Linked DNA regions of Caenorhabditis elegans. Changing the gene in region 2 together with the main gene of any one other region gives a genetic interaction. Each region holds a gene or a part of one and is shown on either strand. Other genes may lie near its edges.

Region 1 (4,047 bases), on a different chromosome or scaffold from region 2:
ATATTTAGATGTTTTTAACTTTGAATAATTCGTTTCAGATGGCTTATCATTCATGGACATGCTAATTCCGATCTCATCGTCGCTTCCAATAATTTCCACGAGATCTCTACTTGAAATACTTTTAAATTTCATTCTAGACGGGTGCCAAACTGTAATATACTTGCCAGATTATTATAACGATACAACTAACCAAAAAGTCGATGACTCGACTATTTTTCAATTCTTGTGCAATTCAAAACTTATACAGTTTGTTGACGGGCGGAGTCGGAGGGCTGTGGAACGACAAGTATTGCTTGAAGCTGAAAAGGTTATTCTTTTAGTTTCAAAATTCGTTAATTTGAAAATAAATTTTAGGTCCATGGAGTCTTTGTTTCCTCAGCGGAAGAGTTTCTAACCCGAAACGCTATTCAATGCTTTCCAGTGATTAATCGTTATTCTAAAAGACTTGATGAATTTCTAATTTGCACAGTATTCCTAGTCAATAATCTTCCGAAAAAAATACTCGCACAAGATTTCGTTGAAGAATCTAGAGTTTTGAAACCTGAAGGGAGTTCTTCAGCCGTATCAAGCACAACTGTCCTAGAAGAATCACATCAAAAAATCAGTGGAGCTATGGAAGACTCTGAGGATGAACCTGCTGATCCACAAACGTTGAAACAAGAATATTTGATTAAAGAGGAATGTTCTGAAATATCAGAAGATTCTGAAGAAGGAGCTATCGTCGATGTTGCTTCCAGCTCAGGCGACTTATCCGAAAACGTAGGTGCAATCTAAATTTTGTAAAGTCTAAATTTTTTCAGCGTGATCAGAAATCTGAAAACGAAGAATTTGAATATTCCCCGCATCAGTTAACTCTTGAGCAACAAACATATTTGGTTATTTTTTCCAGTTTTCCGTTCAGATTGATTTATCATCAATATTTCAGATTTCCTCTATGGCGCAACTCTCTATTTTCCATTTCCAACGCTATCGCCAAATAAGAGTATTCCTTATGATTATAAAACGTTACGTGCCAGAACTTTTACCTAGTTTTATGCAAAAAACTCGCATGGATGATGTTGCTATGGCAATTCAAGACATTCAGAACGGGAAGGACCTTCTTTATTGGCCTATTTTCTCAAAAATTGATAATTAATATGTTCAATAAAAATATTTTCGCATTTCTTTGGTTTTAAACTTTTATTTTAAAAATTCTTGGTAATATATACCCTGAAAATTGTATTTTAAACAAACAATTGCATTTTTTGTTTGAAAAATTTTATTTGAATTTTCTGGCAACAACACTCCGAAATTCCGTATGCGCGTGTTGTTTAGCCGCATACGAAACACCCAGTTTCTCAGGAGCATTGATTAAAGTCGGGCTAAAGTAAAGTTAGCAAGCTTCTTTTGAATTTGAAGTTCGTCTTTTAGTTATAATTTCATTTTAAGTAATATGCCTAACCTTCGAATTATTTGTTCTTCTCGATTTATTCGTTAGTTCCTCTGTTCTCAGTATCTTCCCGTCAGATTATCATTACCGACTTTTTTATTCCCATTTTTCATTACTTAGCAGAATCAATCACTTCATTTGGCTGAATAGCTACTATTTTAACACAAGTTTCTTTGATGCTTGTCAGAAGTGTTATTCATTCAAGGTATAAAGCTATAATTAGCTATGCCATCATTTTATATTTCGTCCAGCTCTCGTATCTCGCATTTTTATTTCCATGCGGAGTTTCTGATGATATTTTCTTCATTTTTATTCTAGAATTTCATGATCAATTATATCTCACTAATATTTAATCTTAATTACAGATGCTCCGTTCACTGGTATCCAGTGTGACGACGGGTCCGACTCCAGAATGGGCCGGGAGAATTCTAATGGCCTTCAGTGGACATATCAGTCAGCAGAGAGGTCGCAGAAGAACATTGACCCCAGCTCCATGGCTTCCGCCAGTCAAAGAGAGTGTGCCGAAAAGCAGTGTGGGTATTAGCCAGGGGACAAAGTAAGTTGCATTAATTCTTACCTGTTTAGCAAACGTTTTTGTTCAGAAATCTGCTTGAAACCGTAATTGAGAAAGAAACTCTTGCGGCGTCCACCATTGCATTTCAAAATTCTCAAGAAACCAATGTCTCAGTTGTTGACATTCCAGATTCATCAAGACGTGTGGGTCTGGTTGTCCGCAAAATCGGAATGCTCCCACAATGGACAAATGAAGGAAACCGAATTCTGTGCACTGTGCTTGAAGTTGATGAAAATCATGTTGTCAGTATTACATCACCAGAGGCTTGGTATAAATCGTCAGCCGTCGGAAAAAGAAAGGCTTTCAATCGTCACGGTCCTATGTGGAGAGTTACAGTGGGTGCCGGAAATGATGATCCAACAAAATACACGCTTGGGTACCGTAGGCAATTTGTTCGCGCAGGAATTCCAGTGAAAGGTTGGGTTTTTTTTGTGTTTTGCTCCGCTTTTCGATAGTCCTTCACCGTAAATTCATGGTTAAAAAAATAAATTCAGAGAAACTCGGATGTTTCCTGGTAACAGAAGACGCTCTCCCCAGTGCTGGACAGCCACTTGATGCCCGTCACTTCGGAGTTGGTCAATATGTAACTGCTACTGGAAAAACTATTGACTGGGGATTCCAGGTAATTTTTTTCAATTTACAATAGTCTAAAACTTCCAAAATTTCCCTTGCAAGCCAAGGAGCAAAATAATCTCTCAACCCTTGCGAAATATTTTCGAAACTAGTCGTTTTCAGGGTGGAATGCATCGATGGGGAATGCGTGGACAACCGACAAGACGTACCACAAAATCACATCGTAGAATTGGTTCCGTTGGTTCAGTCGGCGATGCTCGAATTTGGCCAGGAAAACGTATGCCGGGACATATGGGTTATGAGTGGAGGACTGTTTCTGGTTTGGAAGTAAGAAATTGCTCTCGATTTTAATTTTCAATTCATTTATTTAAGATTGTTCGAATCAATGTAGATAAACAAGTAATTTATGTGAAAGGAAGTGTACCTGGTGATATTGGAGAAACAATTCTACTTAAAGATTGCTTACAAGAAGAAAAACGTCTGAAATCCGGCCCAATGCCAACATGGGCTCCATCACTAGAAACCATCGAAGAAGAACCGGAGACAGAACCCGAAGAAGGCACAATTCCCAAAAATCTTCTTTTCAACGAAAAATTCTCGCCCAAACTGTTCCGTTTCACATCTCCATCCATTTTATTCACTGATGCCGACGCCAAGAAGGCCACTGGAAGAGATAAAACGAAAGCTAAGATTGCAAAAGTTAAAAAGTAATGGTGTATCTAATTTTATGATATATTACGGTTTTCCTTTATCGTTTTTTGTCGAAATTCGGTTTATTAGAATTTTTGTTCCGTAGATTTATAGATTTTTCATTGTTTTGCATTGTTTTTGTTTGTTCTGAATACCAAAAAGCAGAGTTTATATTCAATTATTTGTTGATTTTTTTCCAAACCGGTCGTTTACCGAGATTTACTTTATTTCTTAACATTATGCATTCTGAAACTTGGATTCTCAATTTGAAGCGAATGACAAGACTGTGGTGAGCTGGTTAATCGAGAAGTATGGCTGAAAACGACGGGGAAACGATTGTTCCAGACGAACAGTGCAATTTGACGGCCTCAACGCCTATGAAAAGTAGTGGGTTGGAAGTGAGTTGCTTTCTTTTTTCAAAATACTGTTTTTGAAACTTGAATTTTTCAAACTTCAAAGCTAGACAATATTTTTAAAAAATTGTTTATGAAAACAAGCTATAAAATAATAAAAAAGGGAAATATATTAAATTTTCAGCAAGTGGAAAGCCCGAAAGAACGAAAAACTTCAATGGTGGAATGTGATGACGAAGGGAATCCATCATCAGGAACCCCAGATGAATCACCAAAACAATTGACTCCGCATAGCATTCCCCCAAGACGACGACGTTCTCCACGACGCCCGGAAGTGTCAGCTTCTAGACTTCCTCTGAAAGTACTGAATCAGATTTTTCAGTATTTACCATTGAAAGGTAAACATATAACATTTTCCCCCTTGAAGT
Region 2 (4,047 bases):
CGAGCACTACAGTAGTCATTTAAAAAATTACTGTAGTTTTCGCTACGAGATATTTTGCGCGTCAGATGTTGTGCAATTCGCATTCTCAAAATGTAAATAGTGTTCCTGTAATATAGGCGCTGGGGAATTTTAGAGAAAATCAAAATCTATAGGAAAAAACTATGAAAATTCCAAGTTTGCCTAATAATGCATATTTATTTCAGGTATCTTCATTCCTGTTTCGTGCCTATTTTGTTGGGTAAGCGGTGGTTGTCGACGATCGAAATCCCGTCGAATGTCCTTCTTCGCAACACTTTCAAGTCGTCAAAATCGAAGTCGACGTGGCACAGGAAATGATGAGGAGCGAAGCAGTTTGTACCCTTCCTCTCCACCCACTCTTCAAATCCGTAAGTTTCTCTCTCTCTCTCGTGTTTTCCCATCCATTTTGAAGTTATCATCAAAAACCACAAAACTTCAAAATTCACCAAACTTTTCCAGCAGCATCCACAAAGTGCCGACAGCCATCGTCCTTTTCTCTTCCCGCAGTCTCTCACGACGTCATTTTAGAAGAGAGTGAATCTTCTGATCATGAATGGAGGAAGGCCAAGAGGTGCCGAAAGATAACATTTGATCTCTCAATGACACGCCGGGATAATGATCTTTCACAACTGTGATTAAATTCAAACTGAAATCTAGTATTAACGGGTGATTTTGAAAATAAAACAATTGAATATGGCGAAGCACTTCATTTGACTTCGAGCAATACAGGAATGCAAAAATAACTGGCGAACACAGCGTCTATAAAATACAAAAAAAACAGAAAGATGCTCAGAAAATACAATACGTGGGCACATTCAATAATGTTAGCAAGCGAGGTAGGTTAAACGGACTGGTAGTATATTTTCAATATAGAAGATCTGTTTTCCGATTGCTAATGTTGAGTGTATGTGAGAGATGGCAAAATAGGGAAGATGCTGAAACGCATTCCTACAAAATAACACCGGGGGGGTCGATATAGAAGCTACAGGGAAGAAAAACTAGCAACGAATCATTTGACAAGGACAACGAGTGTCGCTGTACAAGAAGATTCCGTAAAAAATTTGTTAAAGCTTTTTGGTTAAGTGAAAGTTTAGGGGTGTTCGATAAAATGCAAAACACGCAGTTAGTAGAAATAAAATGGGCGTATCAGTTGAACTGATTACTGGCTTGACGATTCTTTTGGTGGAGAAACAGACTTTCCGTGGAACGATGTGGAACCTTCGTAGAGAGCAGCGAGAAGATAATCAGGGCTGTTATGTGGGGACCAATGAATCTCTTCGTCTAAAATTTGATTTTTAAATGAAAATCGACAATCTAGAATCTAAACTATTTACCTGAAACTGTCTCGCTCTCTGATGATCTCAATCCAGAAGATGTCACAGATGGTGCTCTCTTTCCTTTGTTAGCACTATTATTTCCTGATCCAAAATGGTTTGAAGTGTCGAGAAGAGCAGTAATCTGGTCACGAAGATGATGTGGGAATATAGAGTTCAACTCCACATCAGACAGCTCGTGATTCGAAGAATCAGAACACTTATTGCTGCATGGTGAGTTTTGTCTGTGCATGCACATCAGAATACTTGTTTCCGTCGTAGGCTCGCCGTTTTTGCAGAAGTATTCACCAGCTGAAGAAAGCTTGAGCTCGCTGTGCTTGGTGCATCGAGGTGGTTTGGTCTGCACAAGACTACGCGTGTTGAAAATTCCATTGCTACGGTATGGTGCCATCATGAATCCAGCTTCGGGAAAACATGTTGTGTTCTCCTTTTCCTTGAACAACTGATGCATTGGCTCAGCTCTCCATAAATTATGAGGGGCTCGAAGATCGACACACAGCTTTGGTGGTGGCAAAACTTCATTTTGTGGATTGTTGATAAGCTTTCTGCGGGTTGGTGTCGCTCTTCTCACTTCTATAATTCTTCCTTGAACATGTGATTCGTGAAGCGCAGCACGAGCTTTCTCACAGGATTCGATGGAATCGAGTGTGACAAACCCGAACCCTTTGGATCCACGATCATTTGTGACGATTTCCACACTCAGGACTCTTCCATATCTGAAATTAATATTCTTATTCAGAACTTGTTGTAAATTGAAAACTCACGCGAAGAACATTGCCGCCAAATCTTGTTCACGAAACGAGAAGGGAATATTGCTGACATATATCCTAAAAGTTTTTTGATGAATTCATTAAAACGGCACGACAAATTTACCTGTTATCTGTGAAAGAAGCCGGCTCACGAGTTTTCGGTTTGACCGATATTGGCATTGTGAAAATTGGATCTTTGTTGGAAGGATTCGCACTGTTAAACGGTAATCTGAAAAAGAAATACTTAATACCAACATTTAAAAATGATAAACATACCCATCATGTGCTCTGTGAGCGAAGTTAGTAAATATCTGTGTGTTTTGCATTCTGAAAAAAAAAGTTGAATAAAGAAAAATGAGGAACTGGGTAAAGAAAAGACAAGACAACAGAAGACAAGTGCAGAAATGATTCCAAATGATGATAAAACGATTGAAAATATAATTTCACATTTTCCCGCCACCGAGTTACAGAAAAATCTAAAATCAAAATTTCGCGCCTTTGTGATCTTCTAGATTTCTAGTTCATACGAACGTCGGATCAGGTCTAAAAGTTAATATAACTAGACAATTTTGTGTTCTATTTTCGATTAAAAAAATTATTTTACGAATTACTAGAAACTAAAGCTTTAATTCGATTTTCTTTAGGCCAAGAGCAAAAAATAATTTTATTTGATTCAAACTCGCGCTTCATTCATAAGCCCCGCCTTCGCAATCCTGGCACGCAGTTTTTGCAAGGAGCGTGCACGCAGTTGCCTTTCTTCTCTTTTTCTCGTTTCATGTCAATTGCGTTTTTTTTCTCTGCATTTATTTTTTATTGAATTCTTTTCCCATTTTCCCATAAAATTTTATCTATTTTTTCTCATTCTTATAGTTTCTTTCAGATACTTTGCAAAAGAAATGATAATATTATAAAGAATGGCCCTTCGAAGGAAATTCACTTTTGAACTTCCGGAAGACAGTTATTGGAATGAATCTGACTCGAATTCATCCGGATTGTTTGATGATTTACAATCAAAACAAGTAAGTTTTAACGTAGTTATTATATTAAGAAAAAACGAAAAAAATCTTTTAAAACTATAAACGTGACCAGATGTTTTACTTTTAAAAAATTGAAAAAAAAGTAAATTAACACGTTTCTTAATTATTATATTGCTCAAATCAATGTGTTTAACACGAAAATTAAAGCTTCAAGCTCGAGCAGCCGTCGACAATCTCTTCGGTGGCGATGAGACTCCGAAGCCGTACGTCCGACCGCAGAACCCAACGCCAACTCCCACAAATGTTCCACTGCAAATTGACGGAAGAGCTGCTGCTGTGTCAGACAAGGCGAATATTCGAATAACAGAGTAAGTTAATTACATTGTTTTATGAATATAAATAAGTAATTTGCAGTACCTCTCCTCGGGCTTCTGGCAAGATTGTAGATGATTTCTTGAACATGAAATTCGCTGAGAACGTTAACGTGGCGCCAGTTATTCAGACCGCTCCATCTGTGGTTTCTGAAGCAAGTGCAAGTAGTTTACCAAGTGAAGCACAACGTCTTGATTTGGATTATAATCGATTGAGACAAGAACATCGGAAACTTAAAGATCAGCACGAAGTTAGCTATTAAAGTTTTAATATAGAATTTTGAAGATAATTATGATTCTAGGTTCTTCGCCACGAACGGTTTCAGCCGCTTACAATCGAGGCTAGTATCAAGAGAATGCTTCAAGGGCATACTGTAACACTGGATTACTATAGGTCATTACGTGATAAGACACAACTTTTGAAGCAAGCAGTTGCCACGTACGACAATAATACAATTTTCAAGGTCCGAACAGCTATGATACTAATTTTTTAAAAAGTTATCTTTCTTTACAGATTGTGATTTTTCTAGAGAGAACTCTCAAGGAAAACATATTCTGCAAAATAATGGATGGCCAGAAAAGTGCATGCCGAGTTTAC
Region 3 (3,376 bases), on a different chromosome or scaffold from region 2:
GTAGTTAATGTATCTCTTGGTCTTTTTCCATCTCTCGGAACCCTCACATTAAAATATAATTTTTAAACTTTTTTAATAAAACATTTGTATCTACCTAATTTGTAAAATCCAAAAAAATTATTATGAATATGAAAATTGAAAATTTTAAATATTTTAAGTAATCAATGTATATTAACAGTTATATAAACAGTTAAAAACTGAAGAATTTTTTAAATTTTCTCATTTTTACAAGTTTGACAATTAAATGAGTACCGCCAGTGGGGAAAGTGCTTTAAACTAGTTGCCTGGTGCCAAAATGGCCAAATATCATAACAAACGTTTAAAAAAGATTTGGAATTTTTTACTTGCTGTCAAAAAGTGATAATAGCCCAGTTTTTGCCACACAAAATCTCAAAAGCCAAAGTTTTTGCCAAAGTTTTGACTGGAAATTTTAAAAAATCAAAAAAAATTTTGCACTGTTTTAATATGATATTCGGTCGTTTTGGGTCATTATAAGTGTATTTAATCACAAAATTCCCATTGAAACTACTCCACCTGTAATTTTTTCACCGGTCGAATTAATGTTTGTATTTATATTTGCCATTTTGGTTTTGGATTATGATCTACATTCTAAACAGTTAGTCTACAAACAAATCCTACATTTTATCATCAGAAATGGTGTGTTAACGTCTTCTTTGTTTTCATTTCAAATCTGACCAACAACTAATAAAGAAACTTATAGCAATAGAACAAGTTGGCTATTTTCTTTATTGTTTCAATTATTCAAGCATCAGCTTTTATAGAAAACAACTAAAAGGGGTCTCTAATGATTGGTGACGTTGGAAAAGGTTTAGCTGAAAATTTTTTTTTTAATTTTGGGTATGTATTAGTTTTTAGTTGACTTCAGATTTTTTGAACTCAATAATTTAATTTTTCTCCAGATACGCTTAGAAAATAGCATTACGTACTTGAAAATGAAAAATAAAAATATATAAAAAATCAGAATTTGATCAAAACCTTTAGCAAATCTTTTTGCGGGAAACGGCCAACACATGTAATAATTTTTGAAAAGTATATAAAACATCAAAAATTTTGATCTCTGAACTTCTGTAAAATTTTATCTGATTTCTTACTCTGATAATACTGCAACAAATTCACGTTGGACGCTCAAACAAATTTTGAATTAAAAAAACCAATACGTATGGGTTTTTTCCTTAAATCTTTTCTAACAACTTTTCAGATTCAAGTAACTCACTGCAGTTAGATTATTTGTGAAGAATTAAGGTTTTTTGCAAGAAAAATGGAATTATTTTTTAAATTTATTGTCTCAATACTCTTCTCAGAATCTTCCCAAAATCACAAGTTTTTTGTTAATATTTTCAACTTAATTTCGAATTTACTTGTAAGTAATTTAATCAGATATATCACATACAACTTCAACTATACGATATGTACTTTACCCCATTTACCTCCCAGATTCTCAAAGACCTCCGGAATTTCATTTTATCTCAGCCCATCAGTAGGCGCGCGGCAATTCATCCACAAAAGTGAAAACTAACGGAGATATTGAGGATAGATAATCCAGGTCACTCAGTCGTTATCTAATTAGGTCGTATCCACTTATATATATGTGTACACTGAGAAAGTTTTTCTTCATTTCTGTTTTCATTCTATTTTCAACAAAGTTTCCATTTTTGTTCTTGATTTTTTCTCGATTATTTTGAAAGTTTATAATTATGTTATAGAGATGGAGCAGAAATGCGCCCCACGGCGCTCTCTCCGGCTGTTGGCCATTGCGTCGGCAACATTAGCCATTGTATCCATGTTGGCAACTGTCATCATTGTTCCACTTGTCTACAATCACGTACAGCATCTTCAATCTGTTATGAACAGTGAAGTAGACTTCTGCAAGGTTAGTGGAGCATGTTGATGTAATTTTATATTTCATTAATATCTAATTCGATTTAAACTCAATTGAAATATATTATTTTTAGACTCGATCCCGCGATTTGTGGCGTGAGATGGTCACCGTCCAGTCTGCTACCGGCGGTATCCCAGCGCGTACTGCTCGTCGCACACGTCGTGATAACTATGGAGCACAACCAATTGCCGCCAATCCACCATCTTCCGCTGCTGGATCTTGCTGTACTTGTCAAGTTGGACCACCAGGACCACCAGGACCACCTGGAAGAGACGGACGTCCGGGAGCACCAGGAAGACCAGGAAACCCAGGACCACCAGGAAGAGACGGAGCACTTCTTCCGGGACCCCCACCGAAGCCACCATGCCAGAAGTGTCCACCAGGACCACCAGGACCAGCCGGGCCACCAGGACCAAAAGGCCTTCCAGGACCACAAGGAGATGCCGGTACATCAGGACAAGATGGCGTTCCAGGACTTCCAGGACCACCAGGACCATCAGGACCACAAGGAGCACCGGGAGTTCCAGGAGAAAAAGGACCAACTGGAGAGCCAGGAAAGGTTATCAATGGAGCTCCACCAGGACCTCCAGGACCACCAGGACCACCGGGACCACAAGGACCACCAGGACCACCAGGAAAGGATGGACAACCTGGAAAGGCCGGACCACCAGGATTGCCAGGAGATCCTGGAGAGAAGGGATCTGACGGACTTCCAGGACCACACGGAGGAACTGGACCACGTGGACCACCAGGACAACCTGGATCCTGTGATCATTGTCCACCACCGAGAACTGGACCAGGATACGCTAGACGTTAAATTGTCGATTTTTATTTTGGTTTTAAATATTGCTAATAAAAACCTTTTTGAAAATTTTATACATTTCTATAAAAACAAAAACAGACCCATGTATGAATTTCCCAAAAGAAAAAGAAAACGCCCAACGGGGTATATGAAAACTCAATTCACCTGTTTTTCTAATTAGATGTTTGATATCAGGTGTATATAATGTTATAATACTCTGGTCATGCGCATAACATTATTTTCATACACATTTACGTCATTACGAGATGTGAGCCTTTTCCCCTCCAAAACAGTAGAATAACTGAAATTTCCCGAAAATGATGTTTATATCTGTCATCTGACTCCAGAAAAAGAGAAATAAAACTTTGATTGACATGAATGTCAAGATTTAAAAGTTATGCTATCGCAAAAAAAACACATATTTTCGAGTGAGGATTTTGCTTTAAATGTTAGAAAATGGGCTGTAATGACTTTAAAAAGTTGATAAATGTTTTCTAAATTTTTATTTATTTTTTCAATTTTGCAAAAATAAAAGGAATGAGCTAAAAAAAATTAAATTTCCGCACAAATGAGTGACGTCATTTTCGACTTTGTTTTCATAATTTTATCTTTAAAATTAATACACCAATTTTCAATTTTCCAGACATTTCTTAGTTAAAAAAATTATAAATTTG

The links. Genes that interact genetically often act in the same process or in processes that back each other up.
Region 1: of spn-4 (region 2) and mrps-18C, a change in one rescues a mutant of the other (synthetic rescue), as found in Caenorhabditis elegans (one study listed by BioGRID).
Region 3: of spn-4 (region 2) and dpy-3, a change in one rescues a mutant of the other (synthetic rescue), as found in Caenorhabditis elegans (one study listed by BioGRID).

The regions. Positions count from the first base shown.
Region 1 is NC_003281.10:4,933,784-4,937,830, forward strand, and holds mrps-18C (Large ribosomal subunit protein uL3m), read left to right. Parts: upstream 1-1,794; coding exon 1,795-1,985; intron 1,986-2,031; coding exon 2,032-2,420; intron 2,421-2,497; coding exon 2,498-2,625; intron 2,626-2,738; coding exon 2,739-2,903; intron 2,904-2,948; coding exon 2,949-3,287; 3' UTR 3,288-3,438; downstream 3,439-4,047. Other genes in the region: eri-9 (Zc3h12a-like Ribonuclease NYN domain-containing protein), read left to right, coding at 39-307, 355-759, 801-875, 926-1,135; fsn-1 (F-box/SPRY domain-containing protein 1), read left to right, coding at 3,578-3,664, 3,804-4,017.
Region 2 is NC_003283.11:6,782,476-6,786,522, forward strand, and holds spn-4 (RRM domain-containing protein), read right to left. Parts: upstream 2,429-4,047; 5' UTR 2,428-2,428; coding exon 2,378-2,427; intron 2,331-2,377; coding exon 2,226-2,330; intron 2,180-2,225; coding exon 2,117-2,179; intron 2,069-2,116; coding exon 1,353-2,068; intron 1,300-1,352; coding exon 1,178-1,299; 3' UTR 712-1,177; downstream 1-711. Other genes in the region: ZC404.15 (uncharacterized protein), read left to right, coding at 204-386, 478-653; spe-39 (Spermatogenesis-defective protein 39), read left to right, coding at 3,016-3,120, 3,286-3,446, 3,493-3,700, 3,752-3,913, 3,964-4,047.
Region 3 is NC_003284.9:2,143,996-2,147,371, reverse strand, and holds dpy-3 (Nematode cuticle collagen N-terminal domain-containing protein), read left to right. Parts: upstream 1-1,724; 5' UTR 1,725-1,726; coding exon 1,727-1,891; intron 1,892-1,973; coding exon 1,974-2,717; 3' UTR 2,718-2,767; downstream 2,768-3,376.